Oryzias latipes: one gene and its partners. The protein of the gene in region 5 purifies or fractionates together with the protein of the main gene of each other region. This does not show direct contact. Links are inferred from orthologs where the notes say so. Each region holds a gene or a part of one and is shown on either strand. Other genes may lie near its edges.

Region 1 (4,175 bases), on a different chromosome or scaffold from region 5:
ATTTTCTTTTGCTCATTTGGATTGAATTGAACTTTCATTATCTCATAGGGAGAAACTCACTTGTCCTGTCAGCTCGAAGGAAAAAAATCAATTCAATTTACAACAACAATGGTTGTCTCAATGGTAACTGTTTAATGAACATGAAGTCGTACTGTGCAATTGCAAAAAAACAAGTGATAATACAAATTACAGCTCACCAAATATACGTGCAAACAAAAAAGTAAATAGATGAACTGAGCAAATAACAGTTTAAATAAATATGTATGTGATTTTAACTGACATTGTCTCACTTATGCTCTTCCCTCCTCCAGATGAGAGCCAGGCCGCCGCCATGTCCAGTGTGAAGTCCGTCTTCAGCAGGAAGGCCGTGGTGCGCATGCAGCTGCTGAAGGAGGTGGTGGGCAGCGACTCGTACCGCGTCAACAACAAATACGACGACAACCACACTCCCCTCCCCATCTGTGAGATCATCGAGCGAGCTCAAGTCCTCATTGACCAGGAGGTGTCTTATGACTTGCTGGGGAGCAACTGCGAGCACTTTGTTACCCTTCTGCGCTATGGACAGGCGGTGTCCGAACAGGTCTCCCACTGTCTGCTTTGTTTTATGTGTCTCCAGTGGAAAATAACAATCTGTAGATCAAGGAAAACTGTTCAATGTGTGGCTACTTTCTAAATGAAGAATACTATTTAAGGTCCCAATAGACCACAGAGCAAAGGATTGGTCACTTTCCCAAACCATCTTCTGCTGTCAACCTCCTGGTGGCATCTGAAAATGACCAATAAAGAAGTCCAATAAATAATGTTTTTACACTATCATATTAGGAGCTGCACTTTATTATTGATGGGCGGTATAAAACGAATGTGTACGTTGGAGCTCTAGCCTCATTGGTTTGATCATCCCTGGTTCATTTTCTGTGCTCCACAGGCTTCACGAGCCATTGGAGCCATCAGCGTGGTGACGGCTGCAGCCAGCGCCTTCTCTGTCCTGGGGCTGATCAACACGCGTTCCAGAAACAGACCTTTCTGACGGAGGCAAACCTCACCCGAGGCTGTCGTCTCTCAACGATCATGCAGCTGTTATTGAAAGCAAAACCAATAAAGTATTCATCAGAATGGAACTGACTTTGTTGTTTAAGGATTAAAAACTACACTGCCTGTATTCCGTGTACTTAAATACATAAATTTATGTTTTTAGGTTATTCACTTAAAAAGAGAGGAATTAAAACTGATGACCATATTAGACCGTACGGTCTAATGTTCTGCTTTACACACGTTTCACGCAACACAACGTCAAGTTGCAAGATGCTTTGCGAACAGCAGGTGGCGGTAAACACTATATACAGATTCAACATCTAGGGATGTTGACAGAGAAGAAGACAAGTTCGTGACGTACAATTTCTGCGCCGGGACGTAAACACGTGTTTTAGTTTTTTACCTGTTCGTGGATTCTTGCTGGGGAAGAAAACAATCCCGCGATAAATATGGGGAAGAAACTAAAAGTTGGAAAAACTAGAAAAGATAAATTTTACCATTTGGCAAAGGAAACAGGTATATTTATTTGGTATACGTAACGGGCTTAATGTTAGCCCTCGTACGTAGCAGTCTGGCTATTTAAACAGAAACTGTGTTCTAACTGAGTCTGTTAAATAACCTTTTACTTAACGATTTATTTACAGGTTATCGCTCTCGTTCATCCTTTAAACTCATTCAGCTCAATCGTAAGTTCCAGTTTTTGCAGAAAGCAAGAGCTTTGGTCGACCTGTGCGCTGCTCCAGGTGGATGGTTAGTAAGCTCAGGATTTCATTTACTTGTGTCTTGTCTTTTTTTTCCTCACCATTAATTTCACACTTAAAAAAAATCACCGCGGTGATTTTCGTCTGGTCTGGAACTTAGCAATAACAGATAACACGATTATAACAGCTTCTATTTCTTTGCTCGGTAACTAACTACTGGACGCAAAAAATAAATGAAAGGTTTTAGCAGACATTAAGTCCATTTGTGTTATAAACAAAAACGAACAGAGGTAAAAAAAAAAAAAACATTCAATAAAATGCTCACAAATAAGAGTTTGTCTACCAGACCGTAGGGACTTCAAATTAAAAAGGTTGATTCTGTGCTGTTTTCAAAAGGTTTATCACTACATTTTATCATTTTATTCTAAAATCAAAAATTTCTTAATCGTGATGGTGATGATTACAAAGAAAAAGAATCAAATTTACAGTAAAACGTACATTTTTTTATTCTAATTCGTATAATAATGTATTTCTGTTCACTAGGTTACAGGTTGCATCCAAGTTTATGCCTGTTTCAAGTCTCATCATTGGTGAGTGGGTCATGATCAGCACAAACGGCGGTTTTGAGTCTGAGCTCACTGAACTGTTCCAAAGATGATGTGATCCTCTGTGTTTTTCTCAGGTGTGGACCTGGTTCCTATTAGACCCATTCCCAGTGTAGTGACACTGCAGGAGGACATCACCACTGAGAAGTGCAAACAGGTGCTGCAAACATACTGCTCTCATTTCCACGGATAGAACTGATTTGATTGGTTTATGTCGAGCGTTACAAATTATGGAATAATACAATAAAAAAAAAAACAGATATATCCCACTCATTTTCAGTTGTTAAATATTGAATTAATTAGTAAAGAAAAAAATCAACAGAAAACTGATGATTCCGCTTTTGAAAACTCCCAGTGTGGCATGAATGCATCTTCTCCACTTACAGGCTCTACGAAAGGAGCTTCAAACGTGGAAAGTGGACGTCGTGTTAAATGATGGAGCCCCAAATGTGGGAGCGAACTGGCAACACGACGCCTTCTCCCAAGGTAAAACGAGGCCGGAATATACATGTTTTTTAAGTGAAATTCATTTTAATAGCCAAACATTCGTTCATACATGAGATATTGCTCTACTTTTTACATTTTATTGGCTTTTTATGTTCTTATTCACTTATTAATGAAATTAGTTTTTAACAGTTTTTATTATGTTTAGCTTTTAATGTGAAGTGCTGTCTTCAATTTTAAATTGTGTTGAGGATGATTTGCATTTATTTCTCTAGTTTTATGTGATCAATATTTTCCAGACATAAAAAATATTTATTTTTTAAAAATTCTAACATGTGCAAACCCGTATCTGCAGCATCACATCCTGACAAGTTTGTCGGCTCACTTCAATCTTTTTAAACTCTGATCTGTTTCTTGTTTGTTTACTTTCAGCTCACTTGACTCTCATGGCTTTAAAGTTGGCCTGTGAGTTTTTGAACAAAGGTGGCACTTTTGTCACCAAGGTCTTCCGGTCTAAAGACTATCAGCCCCTCCTCTGGATCTTCCAGCAGTTCTTCAAGAAGGTGCAGTCCACTAAGCCACAGGCGTCGAGAAACGAGTCCGCTGAGATCTTTGTCGTCTGTCAGGGTCAGTGTCTGCTGCACAGCTTTTTTCCACTGGAGGACTTCCTGTTTTTATTGTGCATTTGCAGAGAACATCCATGCTTTTTGTTTCCTTCCAGGATTTCTAGCTCCAGACAAAATAGACGGTAAGTTCTTTGACCCCAAACATGCCTTCAAAGAGGTGGAGGTGCAAGCCAAAACTGTGAGGGATCTGATTACCGTCAAGAAACCAAAGGCAAGTTCCCGGAAGAGTGTCTGTTGATTTAATTATTAAAGCAAATTCTGTAAAGTTGTAAAGACATTCTGGATTTATCATGGAAGCGTTGTTTCATGGGACTTCCGCTGCAGAAGTCATGCTCGTTCATTACTTATCAGACCGCTGTTGTTGTTGTTGTTGTAGGCAGAGGGATACACAGATGGGGATTTGACGCTTTACCACAGTTTCACCGTGACATCTTTCCTGAAAGCGGAAAATCCGGTAGACTTTCTGGGAAAAGCTAGCGAGGTGAGCGCCCTGAAGGCAACACTTAATTCATCTGTCAGTTAAAAATTACACTTTTAAAGACACCAGCTGAGATGTTAAACAGTCCATAACCTGACACTTGAGTCTGTTTTTTCTTTTATTAATGTCAGACTGAGAAGGATTTCTCTTTTTTCTAAAGCTAATTCCTCCTCTGTCCTCCCAGATCAAATTTGACAGTCCCGACCTGGAGTCCCACTCTTCCACCAGCAGCGAAATAAAGGAATGCTGTCGTGACATCAAAGTGTTGGGCCGCAAAGAACTGCGGTAA
Region 2 (3,124 bases), on a different chromosome or scaffold from region 5:
CTAGCGGTCTTTTCAACTATGACTATGCCGTTTTTAGGCTAAATAGAAAAATCAAATGCTGTTTTCTAGAGAAGAATTTGTGCAGAGCAGCAGTTCATCAGTAGGTGGAACTATTGCTGCAGAGTATGTCCACCCCCACTTTCCGTCATCCATGTTTACACGCTCTCCCACTAGATTACAGCGCCTCACATTTCTCTACATCTTTGTGTGCAAGTGGAGGCGGAGCAGGGAGACTTTGGTCTGCCCAGTTCAGTTTCTACGTTACAACTGAGGGATTTATCAAACAGCATTTTCTGTCTGCTCCTGATTCACAAGGATCTGAATAAAGAAATACTCAATAATGCAGTTTTAATCTAAAATTTCTTTATTTATGTCCTCCATCATGAGAAAAATGCAACAGAATTTCTTTTAATCTTAAAATTAGCTTTTCATTGGAAATAAGTTTTTTTTGAAAACCATATGACATTTATTGGAGGTAAAAAAAAACTGAAACGGCAGACTTTTGTATTTAAATTGTAGAATATATTTGCTTTTCTGTCAACAGTACAGTCAAAAAGCTATGGGGAGCAGGAATCGGTCCTCAGAGTTCAGCTCTGCAGCAGCAGGATGTAGAGAATTTCTTCAGCGCTTCCCAGGTTTCCCTCTCCTCTTCCCTCCTCCAGCTTTGCCTCCTTTTCCTTTGCCCCCCTTCCCCTTGGGCCTCCGGGTGGCTCCCCCTTTGCCTCCCTTCTTCCTGGACGCAGCCTCCTCCCTGTCCTCCTCTCTCATCTGTTTGTTGACGGCTTTGGTGATGTCCAGCTTGGGCCTCTTGCTGTCCATGACCTTCAGGAGCTCCAGCTGCTTGTGCTTCTCGCTGGAGAAGTCCCCGATGAGGGGCTCAAACTTCCTCCTCTTGCCTGCGTTCTTGGGGGGCTTCTCCTTTGGGAGGCGATCCTGGAACCTGCCCACGGATGCCGTGGAGGTTTTGGCCACGCTCACAGCTTTGCTCAGCTCGTCTTTGGATTGCTTGGCTCGGGGTAGCAGCCCCACACCGGGGTTTTTTATTTTCTGAGATCTGGCGACGTTCTTCAGTCTGTTGAACTCGTTCTTTGCCACCCTCTCCTTCTTGGCATGGGCGCGTTTGGCGAACTGGTCCTCGTTCGGGTCGGAGGTCTGCGGAACCTCGATCAGCCAGTCTTTGGTGTCGTCGTTGGCCCTCTTGTAGCCCCAGCGCCTCCTCCACTCCTTGGCCGTTTCATCCCACACCAGGTTCGTCTTCTTCTTCTTCTGGATGCCTTTCAGTTTGGCGAACTGCTCCCATTTCGTCGGGGGTTTGGGCTTCGGAGGAGGTTTCTCTCTGGGCAACCGGGTCGTCGGCTCCGGTAGTTTGGCTACGATCGCCTCCTCGACCCTCTCGGTCGGCACCTTCCAGATTTCGTTGATAAGAAGCTGCGTGTTGTCGCGGGCCAGCGACCGGAGAAAGTCTTCCTTATTCTGCTCTTTGAAGTCCCTGGACTCGATGCGGTTTTTGTCACAAGCTAGCAGGTTTCCCACGTCAAAGTCCAAATCCAGCTCCTTCTGGACGGAGATGGTCTTCAGTTTTTCAGCCTCCTCCTGTTCGGCTTTCGCTAACAGCTCCTCCACGCTGCACGCAGCCATGATTTCGACCACTACACACGTGGGGCAACAACAGGAGTCTTCTTCCGGGTCACGGTGTAGTTCATTGTCTCACCGCACGAGGCAGTGTTGCCTAATTCCCACCGGTAACCATCAGGGGGAAGTGTTGTTTTATTTTCTTGTATAATACAGAATTTGGCTGCCAGAGGGCAATGTTGTTCCACTAATTTGACATTTAAATTTGAATAAAAAACAAACAAATTAATGCAATGTATACAACTTGTTATAATAACACACACATAAAATACACTATATTAATAAAAAAAATCTAAATTCATGCCACATTCATGCAACATTTTTAAGCTCTTTTCTCTTTTTCACACCAATGAACACTAGGGTCAAGTTTAAGTTCAGTCTGTAGCCTTAGGGCGCTTCAACAGGTGGACTACAGACATCAAACCACAGATGATGACAGTCACAGAAGCTCCAGATGGGTGTATATACATTATTTAAAAAGATATATATTTAGCTAAACTAGACAGAAAAAAACATGTAAACGCATTTTTTTTGGGGTAAAAAGTCAGTTACAGTTCATCGGTGACAGTTCAACAAAATTTCAACTCTATGTGTCAAAATACAGTCAAGCTAAGAAATATGCAAAATTTTTCAAAATAAAACCATGTTTGCAATACTTGTTTTTGAATTTTATGGACATTCAGTTGTGATATTTATTTAAATACACATTTAAAGTGAGTTGGCATCGATAATTTTGGTTTCCTTCAGTTGTGTCACCTGGCAGAGCTTAAAATATTAATCTTTTAAAAAATATAAGCCTAATTTATCCCTCAATATTTTTTGTAGGTTACAAAACACTATAACTGCTGTCATTCAGGTGTTTTGGGGAACAGGAACTGCCTCGTATCTGATGCTTGCTTCATAAGAAACGGTCAATGTTCTTCCTTTTTTGTCAAATATTTTGTGAACTCAAACAGTGAAAAATTACAATAAAACCCCCCAAAATAGCATTCAAAAGTCTGAACATGGCCTAAGAATAATATAATGTCATGCTTCCAAAGTTCTAAAATCCAAACGCATGTTAATAAAGACATGGCAATCTCCAAAATGCACCCATCAACAGGGAACTCAAATGGCTAAATGACCAAGGCAGGACAGGAGCATCCATGCATGGAATATAAATACAATATATAATGTTAGCCAAATGGCTACAATACACACCTGACTAAGGGAATACTTGTTCTCAGAAAAAAGGTAAAACTTCTATGACTTTTCTTGCCAATATTAATATCAAAAAATAATTTTACACATCTAGCCATCCATTCTTTTTCTTGCTTTAACCCTTTCTGGGTCATGGGGATGCCGTAGCCTAACCCTGCCACTGTTGAACGAAGGTGGGACACACCCAGGACAGGTCGCCAGTCTGTCGCAGGACACTTTTGCAAACACCTTCTTACAATAACTGTCATGATAAATGGTGCTCATCATATGATGCTTCACTACCTTAATTGAA
Region 3 (4,134 bases), on a different chromosome or scaffold from region 5:
ATTCTGATTTTATAAAATTGGAGAAACACATCTTATTCTGCTGCAGCTCTCTGCTTAAATAACAAATATAAGATAATACATGCAACTATGAGCAGAGTTGACGTGAAAAATGAAATGTGCAGACGGCAAAGCTTCAGCTGTGACATCATACTACCAGCTTTTGCCGTGACTGCCATAACAGTTTTGTTGATTCATATTTGAACAATAGAAAAATATGCCTTCGTTAAAAAGCCAGTCAGTAAAAAGCCATGCAAACGTTTAAAGAGCACCTGCCTTTCCTGTTATTCTGGTACTGGTTAATCTGACTAAAGAACGCTGTTCCAGAACCAGTATAGACTTCCTAATTCTAATCTGACCTTTTGAGATGAAGCACATTTTCATTTAACTCATTTTGAGCCAATTATGTACCTGGGAGCTAACTAAATATTGCTATTTCTGCTTAAATTTAGAAGGGAAAATAAAAATGTTAAAGCTGAATGAATGAAGTTGAGTTTATACTATTAGCTAAAAAAAAAAAAAAAAAAGTGTTTGTGACTAATGACCTTAAAGCCAAACAAGGAAATTCAAAGTCTTACCAACGGTACATCAGCCATGGAGTACACCACAACTCCTTGATACTGCATGGTGTTCTCTGTGATCCTTCCCAGCCCAGACTTCAACACATGGTTCCCATACAGGAAGGACTGCTCTGCTCCTGGTTTCACCCAAACCTTGAACTGAAGACAAGACCATTCTTTAGTTAATCACAAAGGACGAATAATAAATTCAATAAGGTACGCCTTCTTTTGAGATCTAAAAACTGTCTTAGAACCTCTTCCCCAACCCACCCCCTCCAAAATAAGGTAGGTAAGTGAAGTGTCCGTTTGAGGGAAAAGCCAAAAAAGGAAGTTATGCCTTAACTGATGGAAGTAGCACATGTGTGTGGTTTTACATAAAGAAGATGTTCCATGGCTTCTTTTGCTGAACTCAACTTTTTTGGGGTTTTGCATTTCCACTTATCTCAACAGTAAAATGATGCTAATGTCATTCTTAGTTCCCGTTTTCTACAAGCAATTGTTTCTCGCAGAAGAGCACAGACATGACTACTGGAGATGCAACAATATTTCCTTCCCTTTACCTACAGTTTAGTTCAAACTTTAATTATGTTTCAATTCAATATGATTGTTTCTTAATGATTCATTAAAGTACATTGTGTCTATAAATTATACTGAGTACTTAAATTATTTTTCTTTCAGAAACTGGTTTGATTTTGTTAAACCTACCCACATGTTTCGGTGGAATACCTTCCGCCTTCATCAGGGTCGACCCTGACGAAGGCGGAAGGTGTGATGATTGTTTATTACAAAAGAACAAAAAAAAATACAATCTTTTTTCTCATTTCCTAATAGGCAAGTAACAATAAAGAAAAACCTTTCAAGATGGCTTATTCTAAGCCTGGTGTAATGTAATAAAACAATAACTTCTTTAATTTAACAACAATTGTTTGGCCCTTTGAATGTAAACATACTGGTAAACAGCGAGATGTGGTTCAGTTGCAAACGGGGGAACTGTGGTATCCCTAATGACCACTAACATTTGAAGCCCTGCAACACTGTTAATCACATATAGGAGCATTTTCCCCCATAATGTAGGAAAATGTGACTTATGATGAGTTTACATCACAATAAATCTACTTCTGCATATAAAAAGGACCCCCCACACCCACCTCTACCTTTTTTTATTCATCCTCTTTTTTGATTTAGTTTATGCTCCTGTTAATCCATCATAAAGATATATAGGCAAGTAAAAATAGATTTAGAAACACATATCTACAGATTAAAAAAATACACTGTAATTAAAAAGGTTAAGGAATATATTTAAATTAATAAAATATGTGCTATTATACTGATTTGCTGCTTGTGGTGGTGGAGAAGACCTAACCAGAAGTCAACAAATATAGTACCTGCTGGGTAAGGACTGCTTTTATCAATAAAGTTACTTTTAGGACTGTTACATTTCTGTAATACTGATCCCCAACAAAAACTACAATAATCACTCAATGGCGCCACCATTTCATACCAGTTTAATATTTTTGTTTCTCATCCCTTTTGCTCACATAATTGCTTATAAAAGAATGAACAAATAATTGAATAATAATATTCCTGGCAGAGTGTTTAATTTTTTAAGAACTATCTTCAAAAAGAAGCATTTTTTTCTTCTGAGTTTGCGCAGTGACAACTTGTGTGTTACCTTTGCGTAAGGTGCCAGAAAATCCAGAGCGGTTATATGGAGACGAAACTTCTTAGTTTTTGTAAACTTTCCAAAGCAAGTTCCCACTGAAATGAGTTTGTCTCGAGAAAAGTTCGTTGCCAACTTAAGAATTTTCTCGCTGTGAAGAGAAAACGATGCTGCATCAACATCTAGGCTGAATTACCGCAAACAATCTTAGGTATTGATCAGGAAATACCTCATGTAGTACACTCGGTCATGGTGTAATCTGAAACAGTAGGTACCGTCGGGTCGGTCCACAAGAAGTTTGATGTTTTCTCCAATGCTTGAGGGGAAGAGAGAGGAAAAAACACATGGGACACACATGCTAACGGGCTAAAATAAACAGTAACTAATGTTAAACGTAGATGCATTAACAGTCACTTACTATTTCGAAAGCTTCTCGAACATCGCTTTTGTCTCCTCCTCCGTTAAAGGTCTCATAATTAGAGTTTAAAGCAAATCTAGGAGAATTACGTTTAAATATCGCAAGAAACGACACAACGTGGGTAAACTGGAAGTCGTCACGATCTAAAGCGGAAGTGGATCTACGTCAGCAGTGATAGCAGTTCCTGGTTTTTTTTTTCTGGCATTCTTCAGATTTCAGACACTTGTCATCTCTCTAGCGACCCGGCCACCCTCGGGTAAGTTTACTCTCCTGGTATTATAGTTATCCCGATGAAATTATTTCACACTTACATTTCGGTGTTTTTACGTTGATTTTGAAGCGACTGTGAAAAACAGGAGTCAAATTGAACGAAAACGGACTCAGTTAGCTTGCTAGGCTAGCTGTCAGCACAGAGAGAGAAAAAACCACAGACCTCGGGAGCGTTAGCTTACAGGTTAGCTGTGGCAGCTTGCTGGTTCTGACTCTTATTTTCTACATCCAATGAACTGAATTTATATTTAAAAACCATAGAGTCCGCACTATATACATTTTTGTTGTCAATGAATTGCTCCCAGCTGTGAACTGATTCGTACTGAAAGGAGATAAGGGCAGCAGGCGCTTTGCCGCAGCCATCCAAAGTTACATAATGTCCATTTGTTTGTAAATACCAATTAACGTTGGTTTAATCCGAGGTTTAGTGCTTTTCCACTTGACCTTTAGTGATAGTAGATTTCAAGAGATCACGGTTAAGCACAGCTCTTATTCTTGCTGCTGATTGAGACTCTGGGTGCTCAGCTCAATCAATGAAGTCTGCTGTCAGCTGCAGAGTCAGGAACACAACAATTTGGGAAGATATACTTGGTCAGCGAGCCCTCTGCTTCTGGCAGACATTTGATCCTCACGTCAACCCCTTTTTTTGTTGGGAACATTGATGATCAAGTCTTTCAGTTTTGGAATTTAAATGAAAATGCTAAACTGGGACCCTCTTGGTTAGGAGAGTAGAAATTTAAACTGTTAAATATCCTCTGTGCATTGAATGTAAAGTAAAACCATTCTGAGATATTTGTCTATTGTACTTCAGTGCTTGAAATAATCTTTAAATGCAAGGCACAGGCACAAGTGCAGATTGCCCCAGTTTCCCAATTTCTGACCTTGTACTGAGGCAAGCCTCCAGATAAGTTTTTGCCCTGAAAGGTTGTAAAAGTTAAAGCCTCAGTAAGGCTACAATGCAAAAACAAGCATTATGAGAATGGGAATGTACTCATTGTTGACCCTCTGACCTTAACGTTACATTGGAAAAGTTTTGTTGTGACTAATCATGTAGACGGTTTCTTTTCAGGCAGCGAATAAACACACAACACCCCACAATGTTGCATCATTGTTTTTTTGCTTTTTCTGATTTTACACACAGAACGTACAGAAAATGTGTTTTCACGTTCTAGTGGAGCCCACCGACCATCAGTTTGTGTCTGTGAATGAACCTCTGTTATTAAAAAAAA
Region 4 (4,157 bases), on a different chromosome or scaffold from region 5:
CGGAACAAAATTCTGAAACTCTGAGCTTAGGAAAATGTGCAGAGGACCATCAGCACCGATGTAGTTCTCATCACACGGATTCAGGGGATTGACAGATTTTGGCAAAACATCATTGGTCCAAGAAACAGACAGAGACACAAGCGTTTCCTCACCACTTCTCCAATCAAGGCTGCCAAGTTTGGAGCGACCTGCGACATCTTAGAGCGCAGATACTCCTGCAGCCCCTGGCGATACGCAGCCAGGGACACAACACGGTTGGAAAACCTCTCAATGTTGATCAGGTCAATTGGAGAGATGTCCATTCCTGAAAGGGAAAAGACGATAGCTATGAACAAAGAAAAGGACCAGTTTGTATTTTGAGCTGCACTGTGGGATTGTTTCTCCCGACAGGATCCGCAGTGAGGAGGACACGCCTTCACTACAGGTTTATGAGAGATATCATCTACCCCCCTGTGTTAGGCACCCAGGACGATTATCGGTCCAGGGTGGGCATAAAAGGGGCTTATAAGATCAACGCTACAGTAGGGTACTGGCTTAAATTCTGACCCATAGAGGAGCGAGACGCCTCCAGAATGGCCTGAGCTTTGGCACTGTCCATCACCACCTCCTCCAGGCTCTCCAGCTTCTCCTCTGTGAGCTCCTTCCTGTTGCCAATGAGCTGGGCCAGGCGGCAGTACATTGAGTTCTCTGAAACGATCTTGATCAGCTCCGGGAAGTGGTAGCCATACCATTCCCTGGAGTGCACAAGGAAACAAACTATGAATATCCTGTGTGATATAACCCTTCAAAACTAAAATGCACACGTTAGGGAAAAACCAGACAGGGAAATGTATCCCCCCAAACAGTGTGGCGTTACGAGATGTCAGCAAGTACCGCGCAAATGTTAGGAGAAGGCTGATGTACCTCCTGTTTCTATACAGACAACACTCTGAGGTGCACTGTCTGTGGTAAGCATTAGGAGGACACTTTATCTTTCAAACTTTTATAGAATTTAATTCAGTTTTACCCTGGAACCAAAACAAAAACATCCTAAACAACCAGCTTACCGCACACGCATGGAGAAAGTGTTGATGTCTTTATCCAGCTGATCCAACAAAGCAATGGACTGGATGATCATGTTGTCAGCCCGATTCACGTTAAACTTGACCTTCGCTCTGGAGTAGCTGTGACCCAGACCAAGCTGTGCCTTGGAGGCGGCGAGAGAGGTCAGACCCTTCACCAGAGAGTGGAAGTGAAGGCGAATACCTGCAAAGTGAAAGCAAACAGGAGGGTTTGTGGGCGCAAAAGGAAACTGCCACAAAACCGGAAACATCTGGGGGCTGTTCAGATTTTCAGTATAAACCATCACAAATGTCAGGATCAAAAGTGCATCACAACAGACCACCCCTTTTTATATTAACATTCACAGTAATAAAGTAATAACTGAGTTCACGTCTGTATTCAAACAAAGACATAACGCACCTCTAGTTATCTCAGCCACCACTCCACCGGTTTGTATGGAGATGTTCAGTTCTTCTTGCAGCGCAGCTCCGATCTTGGCATCAGAAACCCCTAAAGACGGCTTCTTCTTTCCAGATAGAGCAAGGTTTGTCTCCAGAAACAGCTTCAGATCAGCATGAACGACGCCTGCATTGGAAAAAACATCGCAACCTTTAGCAAAAACACAACCCGTAATCCAACCATGCAGCCAGCAAACACTTCTTATGCACCAGGAAATAGTCTTAATCACTAAAAGATGCATGAATAAACTCAACTTTTCCCCAGATGTTCAGCAGTAACATAAAAATATCATCACATTTTATCAGTGGATTGACAGATTGTAAACCATCATTACAGCTGAGAATCTTAAAAAACAAACCCATTCAGTAAATAAATACGACTTGCCTTCAGAAATTGCGTTGATGTTCTCCAGGGCGGCCTGGGCGGACTTGAAGGGGAAAAAAGCAGCCAAGCTCACCATGCTGTTGAACTTCCCGATGCTCAGCACGCTCTCCTCCACCTGCGACGGACACACAGACACCGTTCACCGCTCTGATCCACTCCCGACAACACACCAGACCGGGACACGCAGGAGAACAGGCTCACCTGGGGGAGAAGCATGCCGATCTCCTCCACCTCCTTCACGGCGAACAGCGCGTAGCCCGCCGCGTGCTCGAACAACACGTGCAGCAAAACCTGCGAAAGGTACATTTAAGTAAGTAACAATAAATCCCTTTAAGATTTATCCCAAATGACATTTGTAGTAAAAGTGGTTTTATTGCAAGTTGATTTAGGCAGATATGAATTACTTTAAACTGGAACCACGTGGTGGCTTGTCGAACCCACGTGTTTGACCTGGGCCCAGGCAAACTTGCTATTAAGCTAACTAATGCTAACTGCTTAGCGATTACCCCTTCACGCGGTTTTAAAATCCTTCAAACTCTGTATACATAATATATTTTGACTAACACAGCTGTTCATGTACCTTTTCACCAATTCAGTCTGTGGCTGTTAAAACAACTTTAGACACTCCCGCCTATTCTTTCCGCACAGGCGGCTAGCCGCAAAAAACGGTCGTCATTTTTTCCCTTGACTTTTTAAACGTCATTTGAACAAGTACAAGGGGATTTATCGCCTCTGCGTAGCTTCAAGTTGTTTCTTCAGAATAAAGGTGGCGGTGCACAAGAGTCATTTATCTTACCATGATGGCTAAATCTGCGCAGCGGCACACAACGTGTCTGCTCCGCTGCTTCCACACACGAAAAGAGAGCAGAAAACTTTGACATGACCCACATCTCGCGAGATTATACTGGCTCCTCCCTCTCCGCCTTTCTTTCACAGCTGCTGCGAGCTTGGCTTCACCTCTTGTTCACAATTATGGCACCTCCGAATTTTTTTATTGATCATCAACCAGTGCATTACATCACATTTTTTATTTTTATTGGAGTATTTATTGAATTATTTATTTAAAGCATCAAAATATAGGAATAATACAATAGAAATGACAAAACCTATATATATCTAAATTATTTCAGATTTGAAGTAATACGTTAATTAGAAAGTAAAGAAAAATAACCAAAGATAAAAGAAAATGGTGCCATCTCATTTTCTTGAAAGTGTAATAATCACAAATAAACATCTTTGCAAAAACAGTATACACAAGTCTATTCAGATTCATTCATCTGTATAGAAGTGTCTACTCACATTTAAGTCACACATTTTTTATCAAGAAGCTTTTTCAGTAAAAGTAATCATTGGAAATCATTTTGCATGGGCTTTGGACAGGCTTGGACAAATGTCATATTTTCCTCTGAGTCTTTCCAGTCTAGTATTTTTTATTTAATTTCTTCATTTAGGTATTTTATGGTTAAATTGCTGCTTACTCATTTTTTACACTAAATTGCTGCATGTCTTTTAATCACTAAAAGCACTTTTATTTGCTTTTATCAAAGCTACTTTCAAATCTAACTGTCCTAAGTTGATTAAAAGGTACTTCGCTTAGAAACATATTGTGGACAAAAAAAGGTAAAGAACTATTCTTTTGGACAGAAAGTAACTAAAGATGAAATGTTGCTGCAACAATGGAAAAATTATTTTAAATGTATTTTAATCCGAAAAATGCATTTTTTCTTCTTGAAAGCTTTTCATCAACAGGAGTGTTGAGATTTAATTATTCAAACACAGACCTGACACTCCAAAGAGACTAAATTACTGAAAATATAAAGAAAACACTAATCAGCAAAACATGTTTATTTGCAATAAAATACAATTATAAAACATATAAAAACTGTATAAGGCAGGTTGCATTACTTGCTGAGAAAAAAACTATTAGTTGGTCCAACTTTTACATCAAAAATGTGAATTATATCATGATTCTTTAACAGAAATATGACAAACGTTTAAAAAGCTACAAAGAAAAAATGAGCAAAACCAACAATAATGAATGAAAACAAAAATGGGAAAAAAGGACATCAAAATGGATGTGATTTATCTTTTTCACGTACTTTAAACATTATGAGGAATATCTTTTTATACAGGATAGTTCAAATTCCTCAGATGACTAAAACCAGGATTTCTGTACCGTACAACTGTACAATAAATAAACTGCAAGTGCAAAGTGATGGAAAAATGTAAAAAGGTTTCATGTGTCAACGTGTTAACGTGTTTTTACTACACAG
Region 5 (3,500 bases):
AACTCATGTCCAGCACCATCTCTCCTTCCTGTGGAGAAAGAGCCATGACAGGCAGAAAGCTGGAGGCTCCCTGCAGCATGTAGTGACCAGCCAGATACTCAGGGGTCGCACCTGCACAAAAACACACACACACACACAAGGTGAAGAACTGAAGCAAAATGTTTCTTAGCTGCAGTCAGTCTGAGACACTCTTCAATAAAGACTTGATTGACTTAAGTTCTGAGCACTAAAACAGAAACTCACCAACTGGAACAGATGAGTCATAGATAACCAGTCCAACTTTAGACCATTTCCCAATTGGATCAAGGTTAACCCCTCTGTTAATCAAAGCCTGAGCAAGAAAAAGTAAAACAAGGTCAACATTTGACACTGGTTTCTGCAGAACATGCACATGCAAATCTTAAAAAAACTTAACACATAAGTTTCATTTAAGTATTTAGGTGGTTTTCTTCTTGCAAGACTTATTGTCAACTTTAGGCCTCTAGGAAGAACATAAACACATTTAACCAGGAAGAGTGTCCACCTGGGGGAGAATTTGGGTTTTAATACCCAGTTGGTTTTAAAGCTGCGTCCACACTGAACACAATTTGCACGTCAAATTCGCATCGGATGCCTCTCCTTTGACGCGCATTATATTCACTGCTCAACACTTGTCAAGAAATTGTTTTCCTAAGTTTGACGCTCCAGACGTGTGTGGGAGGAGCTACTGCCGAGTTTTCTGGACTTCATTTATTGCATTATCATGGAAAACATGGACAATGTTGAGTGAGTAGCTTGGGTTTATATGTTTTGGAGAGCTCGGCAAGGGTGTGTCCAAACTCCAGGGCTGCGTCCTTCAATGGCCGCGGCCTTCCCCGGCGACGTCGGCCGGATGTTAGCTGCCGTGAATTTGGACGAGTCTAGCCTTTAAATAATTCCAGCCGTTACATCAGCGAATGTCCTGTCGCCTAGCAACTGTAAGTCCCAATCAGAGAGGAGTAGTGAACCAGGCATGGAGTTGAAAATTTTCCTGGCTTATTTGATCCGACTTTCAATCTAGTAGGTGTAATTATAAAAAGGTGTAATTATCTCCAAGTCCGCCATTGTTGTGAGAAAATCTATGGGTTCGGCCGCAATGCATCTTGGGATACATCAGACCAATCCTTGGTCAGGAAAAAGTTGGCCGTATTCGTTGGCCGCGTTTGAAGGAATCGTTGAATTTAGACAGCACTTGTCGGAGCGCTGTGACGTAAGCAGACTACAAATGCAGCCCAGGAAGAACGCAGCCCTCCAATTTGGACACACCCATAGAATTTGCTTTGATTTAGATCTAGACAACTTCCTCCTGTACATCTGCTCACAATCATTTTGTTATTATGCACATTTGTCAAACCGTAACAGGCAAATTATTTTATTCAGAGAGGATCAGGAAAATTTGCAGCCTGTCGAAACAAAGTTCTTTGTATTTCTGAATTAGTTAGATCAATATTTAACCTCAGAGGTCCTGTGTCATTGACTAGCTTCTTCCTTAACCCTCCAACACCTGAGATGTCACCAGCACCACACGCTCTTTGACACAGACCAAATCTTCAACTGTTTACGTGATCAATGTGAATCACCTGATTCTGACGTGGAGAAAAGCAGCTTCTCATATCGGCTTTGCAACAATGTGCAACACACTACTAATATAAAATGCTGTATATGACCACAAGGCTGCTTTTCTGTGCTTCAGAGTCCACTGGAATTGTGTTATTTGTGTGATCGGGTAAAGAGTTACGATAGCCTAAAGAATGTAAACACTGGAGCTTTAGCTTTTTAACAGGTGAGGACAGATGCGTCCTCTACTACCCGCTTATGAGGTAATCTAAGATGCTAAATGTCTAAAGGTAAGTTACCTGTGCAAGGTCCCGCCTTCGTGTTTTCAGCGTGTTGGTCCGAATTGTGACAGGTCTCTGAATTTCATTGGCTTCAAGGAAATCAACCAGCTGTGAAACAACAACAAACCTTTTAGGCATAAAACTTTCAACCAAACATCAACAACTCTGTGTCTAATATTGTAGTAGGTTTAGGGGATGTCATCTGGACTTGGTTTTAAAGTTGGAAGACGTTTCACCTCTTATCCAAGAGGCTTTGTCAATTCTGGAATAGCTGGTCTAAGAGCTGGTATATATGTGCAGCTCCTTCAGCGTCAGACTGAGACATCCTAAGTGTCTGAAGGAGCGACACCGCAGGTCGTTTCTACCTGCTGCCGTTAGACTGTACAACCTTAACTGCTCCCAGTGAACCACGTTAACCAACATCATCGGCTCTGTCATATTTCTTTTATCCTGTGCAATAACCGATATATGGTCATCCTGTGCAATTTTTTTTTTATTTTTATTTTTTGGAAATGTATGTGTATATTGTGTATATATGTGAGTATATTGACTCCATAGTTTGTTTCTTTTATATATTGCTCTCTCTCTCTGCACTGTACTGCTGCCGCAAAAAAGGAAATTTCCCCATCGTGGGACGAATAAAGGAATATCTTATCTTATCTTATCTTATCGTTAATAGTCCTTTGTCCTCAGCTGGGGGTTGGGGAGTCAGTGACTCGCTCTCCACATTGGTCCTCTCTTTCCCGACCCGAAACCACATAGGCTAAGTGGACAACACCTCCAGTTTCAGGTCTGACTCCTCCCCCATGAGCGCATATATACCAGCTCTTAGACCAGCTATTCCAGAATTGACAAAGCCTCTTGGATAAGAGGTGAAACGTCTTCCAACTTTGAAACCAAGTCCAGATGACATCCCCTAAACCTACTACAATGGAACCAACCTGGATGAATGAGAGTCTTCATAGATCTGTGTCTAATAAACAAAAACCCTGAAAGTTCAAAGAACTCACCTCAGAGAGAGGAAAGAGTTCCATCAGTTTGTCGATGAGGAAGCTGTTGTAGCTGTAATAGGTGCAGAGATCTTTCTTGAGGAGAGAGACATAGTCTCCTCGGGCTTTGCCCTCCTCCCTTTTTGCTGAGAAGTTACAGAGAACATCCACGTTGTCCTTTATTCTCTGATGGATGGTCTTCAGGTCCAGAGACAGCATTCCTAAAGGTAGATATGATGATTAGGGTGGCTGTGAAGAAAGTCATTTCTAGTTTTTGGTTCGATGTTTCTGCAGTAGATAGAAATACCCCACCCTCTTTTTCACTCTCCTCTGGATCCGGCAGCCGGAATCTGTCCACCTCATCTGTGTTGGTTTCTAAGGTGCCGTCCTCATCCATGTCTTCGTCTTGCTGTTCATCTTTTTCGTCCCCATCATCTTCCTCCTCCTCCTCTTCTTCATCATCATCATCGTCATCATCATCTTCACTCCCAAGGTCCATTAATTTCTTTTGCTTTTTCTCCTTTTTGGCTGCACGTTCAATTGGAAGAAGCTGATTGCAGAAAAAAATATTTCTTTAAATTCACAACAATGATTGTCGGGTTACAAAAATTCATTCTTTCTGCTTTTCAAAGGATGAAAGTGTTTCTACAGCAGA
Region 6 (4,172 bases), on a different chromosome or scaffold from region 5:
CACAGATTTGCCGGGACGTTTCTGAAAGCCCAGAAGAAAAATTCGGGTTACATCAACTTGACAAATTATTTAACGATAAATAAATGCATCTTTGGTTTTGTCTGTGTGGCTCACGTTTTGTTTTCCTTGTTTGCCCTTCTTTCCTCCCTTGGCGTGCGCCACTCTGGCTTTGAAACCAGAAACATCGTTGTAGCTCTCCTTGGTGTTCCACTTCTTCCCGCTCTTTTTGCCTCCAAAACCAAACTTTTGGTCCTTGTATTTCCGCTTAGCACTGGGGCTGAAGAATCCAAGGGAAAACCAGAGGAATTTAGAGAAAATATGACAGAAGCAAAAGAGGAAAAAAGCAGAGGGGAGAAGCTTTACCCTTTTTTGTTCACTGCTTTACTGGGACCTCCTGAAGAATTATTACCCATCTTCTGGTCTCCTTCCAAAAAGTCCAGTTTATCTGACATTCCTGGAATAAGAAAATGTAAAAGAATGCATCAGATTTGGCATTTAACAATTACAAAGTACATATCATGGCCACAGAAACAAAACCCAAGTCCTCACCTTTCTGGTATTTCTTTACAGCAGACATCATAGCCTTCTTCTCCTTCTGTCTCTTCTGGATCACCTCTATTTGGACCTGGCAAACAATCAGACAGAGGTTCCCTCACCATTTGGAGCACAAACACGTCTTCGTATCTACAGAGTGAGAGGCGGTTAAGAACAAGTCTCAGCAAAAACAAACCTTTTTGCCAAATTTCCGTTGCTCCCGCAGTTTCTTGGCCTTTTCAGACTTTTCCAAAATCATCTGCTTTGCGGTCAGCTTCTGCCTGATCTGGAAAACAAAAACAAAACAAAACAGGTTTGTTCCTGTTTTCCAACTCCTGTAAAGTAAAAGACTGCATTTTGTTCACAAACCTATTACAGGGTCTCCACAGATTTACAGAAGTGAATTTGAAAACCTTCTAAAGAACAATTAAAACCTACAAATCCGTACAAAGAAAATGAAACAAACAGCTGGAGTCTGGCTATTTCTTTCTCTACACATGCGTTTTGATCCGCTTGACCCTTTCTGTGCCACATCTATGTCTTTCAGCAAACTGTGCAGTTTGCTATAGTAATTACTAACAATCAACACAAGTAATCCATATTTTTCAAGCCATTTCTTCATGAATTTGCATCTTCCTAAAGCTTTTTAGTCTTTATGGGTCCACAGCCATCCATATTACAAAGGTCCAGCTTAACTTTTCTATCAGACATCTGCTACAAATAAACAGAAAGCCACATTCCTGCCAAGTACTATCCATGATTAATGTTTGGAGCTTAGAACATGTTAGAAAGCACACCCCCTTTAGCATGAATGAAAGCAAGTCACCTTCTGCATGTGCTGATCGGACTTGGCCATTTCTGCAAAGTAATCATCAGGCCTTCTGGTGTTTATGTCATGCTTCCTCAGGAGAGGGAGGGCCTCCAGGACTGTGGCTTGAGCTTGACGGTAACTGTAAAAGAAAACAAAACAAATGACATCATCAGTTTAAACAGCCATCACTTCAGTTTAACACAAACACACAAACCTGGTCATTTGTTTTTCCTCATTAGATCAAAACTTCAATAACTCTTTTTTTTCCCGTTTCTGAAAACTGTAAATGGTTGCTTTAAAAAAAGTTCCTTTAAAGAAAAAAAAGCTGTAGCCTAGAACACCATATGACCATTACAAAATCCTGTTACAAAATATTCCCACCGGTGATTTAAAAAAAAATTCAAATCTGAATCCTGAGCTCAATATTTTGAAATGTCATTTTATTAGAAAAAAATAAAAACACGCATGATGTGTTTTTACCAGCACCAATGTCAGGTTTATTGGGTGTGTGGAGTATCTTTAGTCAAAGCTCTAAATTAGGATCAACAATGACATGCAGTCGTACAAATGTGTAAGAACAAATTGCAGATTGCAATTATGACAGGGTAAAGAAATGTTTTGCAAATGTGATAACCGAACCCAGATTATGATAATACTTTGAACCCGAGGTCTAGAACACAGTGGTCACTTACAAGAACATCTCCCTCTGGAAATCATCCTCTGCATCCGGTCCTCCATTTATCTCAGCAGGAACTTTCCCTTCCACTTGGGATAAGACTGGAAGAGTGCTGAGGTCTAACCTTTCCACCCAGGAGAGGTCTTTCCGGAAGTCAGCAAGACACTCTTTTAACCCCTCCTGCAGCCATTAAACATGTTCACATAAATGCACTATAAATAATACACTTTTTTTCTCTTAATTTAAGAGTAGTAGCTTCATCACAGGTGTAACTAAAACTGTAAGAAAACCAACTTACCACATTGTTTACCAATTTCTTAGATTTATCCACCAGAACGTTCATTCCAGGTTTCAGCAACCCTTTGGTGAAGGCTTCCTGAAGCTACAGTTAAATAAATTAATACATTACCTTTCGTAAATTAGAATAATCACTTAGACCAAATCTTTCAGAGACAATAACTTTAACCAATTTTTTAAAAAAGGGGAAAACAAATCCCCAAAGCGTACATCATATAATGATAACTTTTAGCTGAACAACTATCAGAGCTTGAGTCCGGTTAGCATAAAAACTCACCTCTCCATCCGATAACTCGCTGCCTTCTTCCTCTGAATCCAGGCCGAGAAGCGACTCCTCTTCTGCAGACTCCATCGTGTTTACGGCTATAACCATAAAGAGGGCAAATCTTTCCAAACAACCAAGAAAAGTTAATTGTTTTGGACGCTTCGATTTTCCTCACGTGTACTAGCGTTCACGCGGGGAGAAATGACGTCATCGGAAGTTCTACAAGCAGAGTGCGCCGGTGGAAAACTGCGATCAAAACAAAAGGTTCCTACAAAAAGAAAATACATTCCACTGTTACACTCAAGAATAATAATGCAATGGTAATTTATTTATTATCAAGGTTGTTCATTTATTTATTTTTTCCCAAATTAAAATATTACCCGCAGTTTCAACCGGCAGAAAAAGAAAACAAGGTGAAACCTAAGTGTCTTTCAAATTCAGCTGGAGAGAGCCACCAAACATGTTAGTGTAAAACAAAAATGTAAAAAAATTATTATTATTATTATTATTATTATTATTATTATTATTATTATTAATAATAATAATAATAATAATAATAATAATAATAATAATAATATCATTATCAGCATCATCATTATTGCTGCACGGTGGAACATTGGTTAGCGCCCGTGCCTCACAGCAAGAAGGCCCCCGGTTTAAGTCCCGGCTGGGGGACCTGAACCAGAACACCAATGGGGGACCTGTTTGTGTGGAGTTTGCATGTTCTCCCCGGTTTTCTCTGGGGTCTCTGGCTAGGTTAATTGGCAACTCTAAATTGTCCCTAGGTGTGAGTGTGAGAGTGAATGTGTTATTGTGGCCCTCCAAAAGACTGGTGACCTGTCCATGGTGTCCCCTGCCTTCGCGCACAATTGGCGGTGATTGGCCTCTGGCATCCTGTGACCCCAAATTGGGACAAAACAGAAGAAGATGAATGATGAATGAATGAATAAATGAATGAATCATCATTATTATGGTTGGACTTCCCTATGTGGAGTATGCATGTTCTCCTCGTCCATTTGTGGGTTCCCCCAGGGACTTATGCTTCATAGGTTAATTGGTTACTCTGTCCCTTGGTGGGAATGGGAGTGTGTGTGGGATTGTGGCCCTGTGTCAGACTGGTGACCTGCCTTTCACATAAGTGGCTGGGATAGGCTCCAGCAGCCAAGCGACCCCAAAAGGGATTTAACGGTTTTAGATGATGAATGAAAGAATTATTATTATTATTGCTTTTGTTATTGTTGTTGCTGGTATTCTCAAAAAACAACACACACACCCGAAGACAAGAGAGCGTTTTCCTGACATTGACTCCATGAGCGTTCTCTATCTGCTGTACTGTGCGGGTGTTGAGGGGTCCCGGCTGCTGCCGCTGCTGCGGTGGGGGCCTTGGTGGGGGGGCGGCTGGGCTCTGTCTCTCTTTTTACATTCCATCATCCACCCCAGAAGAACATAAACACTCACTCGAGCACAGGTGCTATCTCACCTTTGCACAAGTTTGCGTGACTGAATGAAATGTTTCACATGTGTTAGTCTGAATGCATAAGTATGCGTGTGTGAATGTAAGTGGTATCCATGTAGACTTATTTGTGTGT

The links.
Region 1: the proteins of nop2 (region 5) and ftsj3 fractionate together in Homo sapiens (co-fractionation; 3 studies listed by BioGRID and IntAct, with this or other methods). This does not show direct contact. The link is inferred for Oryzias latipes from reciprocal best matches to the Homo sapiens genes NOP2 and FTSJ3.
Region 2: the proteins of nop2 (region 5) and rrs1 fractionate together in Homo sapiens (co-fractionation; 3 studies listed by BioGRID and IntAct, with this or other methods). This does not show direct contact. The link is inferred for Oryzias latipes from reciprocal best matches to the Homo sapiens genes NOP2 and RRS1.
Region 3: the proteins of nop2 (region 5) and nip7 purify together in Homo sapiens (affinity purification with mass spectrometry; 3 studies listed by BioGRID and IntAct, with this or other methods). This does not show direct contact. The link is inferred for Oryzias latipes from reciprocal best matches to the Homo sapiens genes NOP2 and NIP7.
Region 4: the proteins of nop2 (region 5) and nop56 fractionate together in Homo sapiens (co-fractionation; 3 studies listed by BioGRID and IntAct, with this or other methods). This does not show direct contact. The link is inferred for Oryzias latipes from reciprocal best matches to the Homo sapiens genes NOP2 and NOP56.
Region 6: the proteins of nop2 (region 5) and ebna1bp2 fractionate together in Homo sapiens (co-fractionation; 3 studies listed by BioGRID and IntAct, with this or other methods). This does not show direct contact. The link is inferred for Oryzias latipes from reciprocal best matches to the Homo sapiens genes NOP2 and EBNA1BP2.

Annotation. Positions count from the first base shown.
Region 1 is NC_019862.2:9,092,113-9,096,287, forward strand, and holds the start of ftsj3 (pre-rRNA processing protein FTSJ3), read left to right. Parts: upstream 1-1,375; 5' UTR 1,376-1,481; coding exon 1,482-1,548; intron 1,549-1,676; coding exon 1,677-1,782; intron 1,783-2,276; coding exon 2,277-2,323; intron 2,324-2,415; coding exon 2,416-2,495; intron 2,496-2,724; coding exon 2,725-2,824; intron 2,825-3,214; coding exon 3,215-3,409; intron 3,410-3,503; coding exon 3,504-3,619; intron 3,620-3,784; coding exon 3,785-3,889; intron 3,890-4,070; coding exon 4,071-4,171; intron 4,172-4,175. Other genes in the region: phospholipid-metabolizing enzyme A-C1-like, read left to right, coding at 312-580, 926-1,027.
Region 2 is NC_019878.2:17,066,328-17,069,451, forward strand, and holds rrs1 (ribosome biogenesis regulatory protein homolog), read right to left. Parts: upstream 1,709-3,124; 5' UTR 1,639-1,708; coding exon 622-1,638; 3' UTR 501-621; downstream 1-500. UniProt on the Homo sapiens protein: Involved in ribosomal large subunit assembly. May regulate the localization of the 5S RNP/5S ribonucleoprotein particle to the nucleolus.
Region 3 is NC_019861.2:25,703,565-25,707,698, reverse strand, and holds the start of nip7 (60S ribosome subunit biogenesis protein NIP7 homolog), read right to left. Parts: upstream 2,801-4,134; 5' UTR 2,692-2,800; coding exon 2,636-2,691; intron 2,534-2,635; coding exon 2,447-2,533; intron 2,369-2,446; coding exon 2,230-2,368; intron 717-2,229; coding exon 576-716; intron 1-575.
Region 4 is NC_019863.2:17,294,861-17,299,017, forward strand, and holds the start of nop56 (nucleolar protein 56), read right to left. Parts: upstream 2,801-4,157; 5' UTR 2,684-2,800; coding exon 2,681-2,683; intron 2,195-2,680; exon of another isoform or gene 2,176-2,194; coding exon 2,086-2,175; intron 2,000-2,085; coding exon 1,885-1,999; intron 1,627-1,884; coding exon 1,462-1,626; intron 1,246-1,461; coding exon 1,047-1,245; intron 735-1,046; coding exon 547-734; intron 494-546; exon of another isoform or gene 373-493; intron 305-372; coding exon 153-304; intron 1-152. UniProt on the Homo sapiens protein: Involved in the early to middle stages of 60S ribosomal subunit biogenesis. Required for the biogenesis of box C/D snoRNAs such U3, U8 and U14 snoRNAs. Part of the small subunit (SSU) processome, first precursor of the small eukaryotic ribosomal subunit.
Region 5 is NC_019874.2:20,213,824-20,217,323, reverse strand, and holds part of nop2 (probable 28S rRNA (cytosine(4447)-C(5))-methyltransferase), read right to left. Parts: intron 3,396-3,500; coding exon 3,158-3,395; intron 3,067-3,157; coding exon 2,867-3,066; intron 1,965-2,866; coding exon 1,875-1,964; intron 332-1,874; coding exon 244-331; intron 112-243; coding exon 1-111. UniProt on the Homo sapiens protein: S-adenosyl-L-methionine-dependent methyltransferase that specifically methylates the C(5) position of cytosine 4447 in 28S rRNA. Required for efficient rRNA processing and 60S ribosomal subunit biogenesis.
Region 6 is NC_019862.2:16,838,067-16,842,238, forward strand, and holds the start of ebna1bp2 (probable rRNA-processing protein EBP2), read right to left. Parts: upstream 2,801-4,172; 5' UTR 2,692-2,800; coding exon 2,596-2,691; intron 2,404-2,595; coding exon 2,320-2,403; intron 2,202-2,319; coding exon 2,038-2,201; intron 1,485-2,037; coding exon 1,361-1,484; intron 821-1,360; coding exon 731-820; intron 626-730; coding exon 550-625; intron 455-549; coding exon 364-454; intron 278-363; coding exon 115-277; intron 22-114; coding exon 1-21. UniProt on the Homo sapiens protein: Required for the processing of the 27S pre-rRNA.